Linked DNA regions of Yarrowia lipolytica. The protein of the gene in region 2 interacts with the protein of the main gene of each other region in a pairwise test. Links are inferred from orthologs where the notes say so. Each region holds a gene or a part of one and is shown on either strand. Other genes may lie near its edges. The genes, in order: YALI1_C25576g and YALI1_B06245g.

What was found.
Region 1: the proteins of YALI1_B06245g (region 2) and YALI1_C25576g interact in binary tests that used the Saccharomyces cerevisiae proteins (3 or more experiments, as listed by UniProt). The link is inferred for Yarrowia lipolytica from reciprocal best matches to the Saccharomyces cerevisiae genes NAR1 and CIA1.

The regions. Positions count from the first base shown.
Region 1 is NC_090772.1:2,556,142-2,559,496, forward strand, and holds YALI1_C25576g (uncharacterized protein), read right to left. Parts: upstream 1,513-3,355; coding exon 514-1,512; downstream 1-513. Other genes in the region: YALI1_C25581g (uncharacterized protein), read left to right, coding at 2,032-3,355. UniProt on the Saccharomyces cerevisiae protein: Essential component of the cytosolic iron-sulfur (Fe/S) protein assembly machinery. Required for the maturation of extramitochondrial Fe/S proteins.
Region 2 is NC_090771.1:622,303-626,417, forward strand, and holds YALI1_B06245g (uncharacterized protein), read right to left. Parts: upstream 2,270-4,115; coding exon 794-2,269; downstream 1-793. Other genes in the region: YALI1_B06264g (uncharacterized protein), read right to left, coding at 3,624-4,115. UniProt on the Saccharomyces cerevisiae protein: Essential component of a cytosolic Fe/S protein assembly machinery. Required for maturation of extramitochondrial Fe/S proteins. May play a role in the transfer of pre-assembled Fe/S clusters to target apoproteins.

The DNA.
Region 1 (3,355 bases), on a different chromosome or scaffold from region 2:
GTTGTCGAGGTGATGATACATGTGTGTGGTTATGCACTATTGGTAACCTTAAAACGTGTATGACGTAGGAGATTTAGATTCGAAGGAGATTCAGATTCGAAGGAGATTGCAGACCGCGCAAAAAGAGTGATAAATGCACTGTACACTGAATAACCAAGCCATTTCATTACATGTCACGTGAATCTATGGAACAAAACGGACTATGTCCGTGTTTTGGCCGCACAACGGTTTCTGTTCTAGCCCGCCCTTAGTTTTTTTTTTTCTGCATATACATTCATTTAATTATAACTTTGCCGTGAAAGAATAACCTTTGAAATGAGGTGTTCTATTGTTGCGTGTTGAACTCGCACTAAAAAGTTAAAACCAGACTTGATTTGTAGGGAGTGCTTCCTTCGATATGCCGTGTTTAGACAAATTTGCAACCGGCTTTGAGAAAGTCAGAAAAAAAATCGGAGAAAACTAGAAAATGAACGAAAAAACAACAGAAATCATCTCCATGTAAATATATTCCGATCAAACCTCCCAGATATTCACAACTCCGTCATCGCCAGAAGTAACCAACTTGTCGTCCAACCAAACGACATCGTTCACTTCATAGACACCATGAGCGTTCTCGACCTCAGACTCAACCACCCACTGGCCAGGACCGTTCTCCTTGTAGACCACAAGCTTACCGTCGGCACCGGTGGAGGCGATTCGTCCGTTCTTGTTCCATGCAACAGAGTAGATGGCTCGAGTGTGTGCTTCAGGCAGAGTAGCCTGCTGAATCCACTCCTCAGAGAGAGGATCAGCCCGGAAAGCAGGTCGGATGCCGGAGTGGTCACCTGTACCTCCAACCTGTCCCTCCTTTTTCCACACAATGCATGTTTTGTCGTCCGAACAGCTGACTAGTCTGAGATCAGAACCCTCAGAGGGCTCAAAAGCACACCCCCAAACAGTGGACTCATGTCCTCCGAGGTCGGCAACACAGATCCAATCGTCGTCGTCCTCGCGCCATAGCCGCACGGTATCGTCGTAACTGGCACTGGCAAACACCATCTCTGAAGGGTGCCAGGCGACATGCTTCACGTCTTGAGTGTGGTCCTGCAGCACAGATATACACTCGAACTCGTCATTCATGTCGTCAGCCTCCCACACCCATATACTCTTGTCTCGGGAACATGTGGCGAGCAGCTGGCCGTCACATGACCAGCTGACTCCCTTGACCTCGTTTTCGTGGCCCTCAATAGCCGCCAAAAACTGCCACTCGTCGTCCTCTTTGCCCCAGATGCTGACTGTGGAGTCGAAGCTTCCGAGCGCCAGCGACGGGGACGAGCCGCTGGGCTTCCAGGCCACTGAGCGCACAGATCGGTTGTGGCCCTCGGTGATGGTCGTCACCAGCTCCCAGTTGTTTGTGTTGTAGATTCGCACAGTTTTGTCGCCCGAGCACGTGGCCAGAAGAGGCAGGTTGGGGTGGACGGACGCTGCCCACGCCCGGTCCGTGTGTCCTTTCAGTGCCTTGATCAGCTGCATTTGGTGGTGATGTCAAGATGATGGTAGTGAGTAATAGCCTGCAGGCTTGCACTAGAAAGTTAAACTGATGGCGTCGAGACCTGGCAGTGAGGACAGTCGAGACCGTCAAGAGCCTGAGATCGGAGGGTGTTTGAATATTGGTTCAACTGGATTTTCCGCGGTATATATTTTGAAACTATTTTCGTTTTCTCTTGCACTTCTTCGTCGCCTTTCGTAGGGAGTGGTGTATCATGTTCAGGGAAAAAAGTGAAATAAAGGCTGAACAACATTCTGTAAATGCGTCAAAAATCGGGGAAAAATATGAAAAAATGAAAAGAAGTCAACAAGAGCTTTATGAAATTACCGAATAAACACATAATTTCAACGACTTTGTCAAATATCTAGCCTCTAGAACTCCCGTTTTATCACCGTCGTCTAACTTCTGTCCTCTAAAGTTCACATTTGGTAAACTTAATCAACGCACGGTAGAAACGAAACTGCAGCATCTGAAAAACTCCACAGACTCCGCAACTCACACAAATGTTCCGCATAGGACTAATTGGACTCCGGGCCAGCCGGCCTGTGCTACTGAAGCCGATCCAAAGACCCCAGCTTCTGTTTCGGCCGGTGTCTCCCTTCACAACTGGACGACATCTGTTCCAGAAAGATGCTCACAACGACCACCCCAAGAAGGATGCTGAAAACAAGCCCGAAAACGACAAGGAGCAGTCCAACGAGATGGTAAAGAAAGACACCACGTTTGATCAGCTCCCCCACATCCCTGATCCCAAGGCCGAGGCTTTGGCGAAGAAAAACGGCTACGTCCCCGCCAAAGAGTGGGTCCGAGAGTCGTTTGAGATGCCTAAAACTGACGTGCGACGGCCCCATATGCTGAAATGGAAGGCCCTAGACGGCCATGGACCCAAACTGTTTGCCCTCGCGGTCATTCTGTGGATCATTTGGTGTGCTTACATGGTTACTGGACGAGGAGGTAACGAGGGAGGAGAGACTACTCTGGCAAACAACGCCTTTGTCAAGTACAAGATTGTCAAGAAGATGAAGATCAGCGACGACGTGGAGCTGATTGAATTTAAGGGACCGGAACGATCCATGCTCCAGCCCAAGTATGCAGAGTACTGGGATGGTCACAGAATGTTTTCTGTTCACATTAGACAGCCTGACGTGCAGGTTGTACGATCCTACACTCCTCTACCCGTTTACATGATGCAGGATGTTGATGGAAAGGATCCTTTGGTCAAGATCATCAGTTGGGATACCGACTACAATGGCTTTTGCATGATCATCAAGAAGTACGAGAACGGAGAAGTCGCAAAGTGGATCCAATCCCTGCCAATTGGCACCGATGTGGACATTCGAGGTCCATTTATTGATGCTGTCATTCCGGAAATTCCTGCTGACGTTAAGCCTCCCAGAGCTCCCATGGAGGATATGCCCAGTCGAATCCCGGCTGACTGGAAGTACCTGGACGTTCCCAAACCCGACAACCTGGTCTTCTTTGCTGGAGGAACCGGAATCGCCTCTGTTTTGCAGGCCCTTTTGTCTACCAATCCTCCTCGAGGCTGCGTCGACATTCACTACTCTGTGCGAACCCGTGATGAGGTCCCCTTTGAACGTCTTCTCTACTTTCTGCAAAAGCTCGGTCGAATCCGACTCTTCATGTACGTGGACAAGGAAAACAAGTTCATCTCGAGTAAGGACATTCCCCAACCTGCTCCTTTGAACATCAAGCCCAACACTGATACCACCGACTACAACAACGCTCTGGAGCAGGCAGCGGCCCAGAAGAAGGACAAGAACCGCCAGGGACCTGTCTATGCATACGTTTGTGGCCCTGACGGTTACG
Region 2 (4,115 bases):
CCATTTCACCGACCAAACATCAGTCTTAAGCGAAACCTAGATCTGGATAGAGCCTGAAAGTCATCACGATTATTGGCAGACTAGAACGGGGTAAAACTCAAGAAAGTGGGTGTTGAACTGGAGAAAACCAATCAAGGACGTCTCATGCATAAATTGGTCTTTTTTTTTGGTTTTTCTTCACGACATCTACAGCCCACCCAAACATTGGATCCACTCTGCAGCGCATCGTCATCCTGCACTGTTTCAGCTGGCTGGTTCTACTGCGTAGAGTGTCTCGGAGATGTCTCGGAGAGGCGATGAGAATGGAGGAAGAGCATGTCTTGTGTATTTCCTCGATAGTGGCTCCAAATTGGATCAGAAGATGGCAAATGGCAAATTCGACCCATAACTGGGTGGTTTTTATGTCCTTCTACAGGTACAGTACAGTATGTACAGTATGTACTTGTCTCGTTCTCATGTTCTGAACTGCTAATATTAGATGAGATTCCATTTGAGTCAACTTTTCCAAAGCGAAGCACGCTCAAGCAAGTTCCTGGGTTATCTCGTCGCTGCTGATCCCTCTAATTCAGCTCACCACTTCTTCATGCCCAACTCCGATCTGATACCACCAGCATGGTGGTGGCAAAAGTGATATAGAAACAGTTGAGCATACACCCATAAATACATACAGTAACTCCCTCATGCTCGTAAGTTGGCTCAATCATATGATTTATTGAATAAATAAGTCAGTGTCGAATGTTCATGTTCGTCTTAAAAAGATGTTATCCACTAGTGACACCCTTTCAATCACTCGTTACCAAGTGGAGGCCAGACCCTGGTCAACCTTCTCCACCTCCTGATAATGCGCAGTCACCAGCTTGTCTTCATCATGGGGTCCCCACACCTTTGTGGCCCAGTCCACCACCTCTTCACTGACGGCCTCTGAGGGGATGGAGTTGTACATTTTTTCTGTCTCATCCTTCCATTCACGTGCAGCAACTCCCTCGGGAGCTCCCACTTGCCCTCCTCCATTGATACATCCTCCAGGGCAAGCCATGACCTCAATGTACGAGTAAGTGGAAGGGTTGAGGGCAGCAGAAACGGTCTTTGTGCTCTTTCTGGCCGAAACAACCTTGCCCTTACCCCGGCTGGGCTTTAGCTTCCGAACCAGGTTCTGGATGTTTCTGAAGCCGTAGACCTGAGCGGCAGAAGCCACCGTTTCTCCAGTCTCCGTGTCAATGACAGAGTACTCCATAACGTCCTGGTTTTTGCCCATGGACGCGTCCACACGGGTTCGAGTTTCCAGGGGGTCATGCCGCAGCCTCAACGCCGTCAGAACATGATGCAAATATCCCCCTGAAGACGACCCAACGTGGTTCGCCCAGTCTCGCTCAGCAGGCCAGGTTTCGGGCACTGAAGTGTAGAGACGGCTTTTGTCAATCTCGGGAAGACCACCGAAACTCATGTCTTTCTCTGTCAGCAGTTGGACCACTTCCTTGGTGGTGATGACACAGTCCACGTCTCTGATTTTTTCCTCCTGGCCGGCCTCTTCGACAGAAAACTCGTCGCGCGACGCCTCCAACTTCTTGTCGAAACACGGCATGACACTCACGTGATACACCTGGCTGGGCTTGACTCTTCTCGTGTCACAAATGACCTTTTTGAGTAGAGATCCACAAATCTGCTGAGGAGATTTGACACTCGAGAGGTAGGGAATGACGTGGGGATGGGTTTTTTCGACGTAGCAGACCCATCCGGGACACGATGCAGCCATGACGGGTTTCTGTGTCGACTTCTCCACCTCCTGGGCGCTGTGGATCAACGAAATCTCCCGTCCCACGCCCATGCCCACCACGTAATCAAACCCCAGAGTGTCCAACAGTAGAGAGTGCAGTTTGGCATCGGCCACCTCCACAGACACCCCAAAGGCCGCCGCAAAACTTGCTCGGGCCTGGTGGCTCACCGAGCACACAAAAATGCGTTTTTCGCCACTGGGTAGCTCTGCCTCCTTCTTGAGCTCATCGAGTAGCTGGGTATGGCTCTGAAGAGCCACCAAAACACTCTCTGCCGACGTGATGCAGCCCGAGCATGCCAGGCAGTCGCTTAGAGACAGCTGCGCCGGCTCCAGCTCTTTTTGTGTCCCATCGATGCCCACCTCCAGGGCCTGTCCTTGGGCTCCGATTTCGATCTCAGCGTTTTCAGTTGTCTTGTCCACCTTGATCGGCTTGATACACACCGCTCCGGGCGAGATGAAGTCGTTTAGGTCGTCTGCTGACAATATCGAAGACATGACGGGCGTGTGTGTACGAGTAGGCGGTTGTGTAAGTGGAGAAAGATGTAGGAGTTCGGATCCTTCTTTTTCCTGCACCCCGGTTATCTAGGTTTGATGTTAGTAATAAGAAATGTGTCACGGGCGTATGGCCGATATCGCACCAGTTGCTGGAGTGGCAAAAAATGCTCCGATTTGATTGGCTCAAATTTATTTGTAGTTGGGAAGAGCAGAGCTATGGATCAGCCCAAAAAAGTACCCCTCCATACATACAAATATTCCCTGTTGAAGACATCCGAAGCGCGCTGACTCACAACCTAATCTGAAAAAAGATGAATAAATATGGAGAGAGAAATATGGAGAAAGAAATATGGAGAAAGAAGTAGCAACGTTGGCAGGAAAGAGAACCAGCTGCTTAGAGAGGAGAGAAAGGGAACTAGCTGACTTGAGATGTTCAGCGAAGCGTCGATGAATGCGGCAGTTACAGTCATTAACAAAAGAGTCCAATATGGAGGAGTTCGAGACGTGATGTAGATACCATGACGGCCATATTTAGACGAACGAGCTCTGCCATCTGTGAAGACCATGTGTATCTCCGTGAGTTGTCTACGAGAAGAGATTGGAAAAGAGATTGTGTTCGAGTACTAGTGATGATAAAGGGGTACAATACAGTAGTGATAGATATATGAACACAAGTACGCACGGTACCACACCGATAGTTGCAACATTCGTCAGCATCTCAATATGTAGAAGGCAAAAACAACAGTACAGTAGGTGGTGATGCTGCAAGTTCTGTATGGTTATTTTGGGATCTTTGGGTATCAAAATGATTTTCTCGGTGCGACATTTTCTATGGTGTAATTATTATTTCATTATTTCTACTTTTTACCGCATTTTCCGCAACATATCGCTATATCGCATTTTCCGCAATATATCAATTTTCATGCAGAACTTTAGCTCGATTAAAGGCGGCTTTTTCGGGAGTTTTTTTGTCTCGATGGGTTTTTAATTTATGACGTGCGGCGGAACGGTTTTTTTTGATGTTGGGAAACTTTCAAAAAAATTGTTACAAAAAAAAGCGTCAGCTATGGCACAACTTTCAGTCATAAAATATCTTTGTAGACGCTGAAAACAACAAAAAAAAAAACAACAACAAAAAACCAACCAACCAACCAACCCATGGCACCACTTTAGGAGGCAGAAAACATCTTGTAGACGTTGGTGCCGATCTTCTCAATCGCAAAGTAGACGTCATCCTGGCGTATGTACTGTATGTACTGTACATACTGTACTTGGCCCGTTGAAGAACGCCTTCCACTGTATGTTGAAAACATCTGGTGGTTGACCTGGAATGCGACTGGCTCCCGATGCTGGTTCACCCTGTTCTCATGGCCCGTAGCCTGTCCATGCAAGCATCCATCTGGTGATGCCCCTTGGTGAGCTCCCGAGTCGATCCATCGTTGATCCGTCTGGAATGTCTCCATACACGGCCTTGAATGGTGGGTATCCGGTGGACGAGAGATTTGCTGAGTTCATCGCGAGCTCGATGACAGGTACAGTTGGCCGAGATCCCAGTTCTGTCTGTGACAAAGTGCTGCTTCATCTTTGGATCAGCTAGGTGTTCGCTCTTTCTGACTGTCTGGGGTGGTTGACCGTGAAGAGCTCGAGCTCCGTGTCCAGGCGTGCCTGCAACGTCTGCCATAGCTTCGCCGGGAATTGCTTGTCTCTGTCCGACACGCCCAGAACGAGCTACCTCGTGATACCGCATGATTCCGTCGAGGTACATGTCCGCCAGATCTTCCAGACATGCAGACTGCCAAACTGGAGGAGTCGCACCTTTCGCGGACAGAGACCAGACCAGATACAG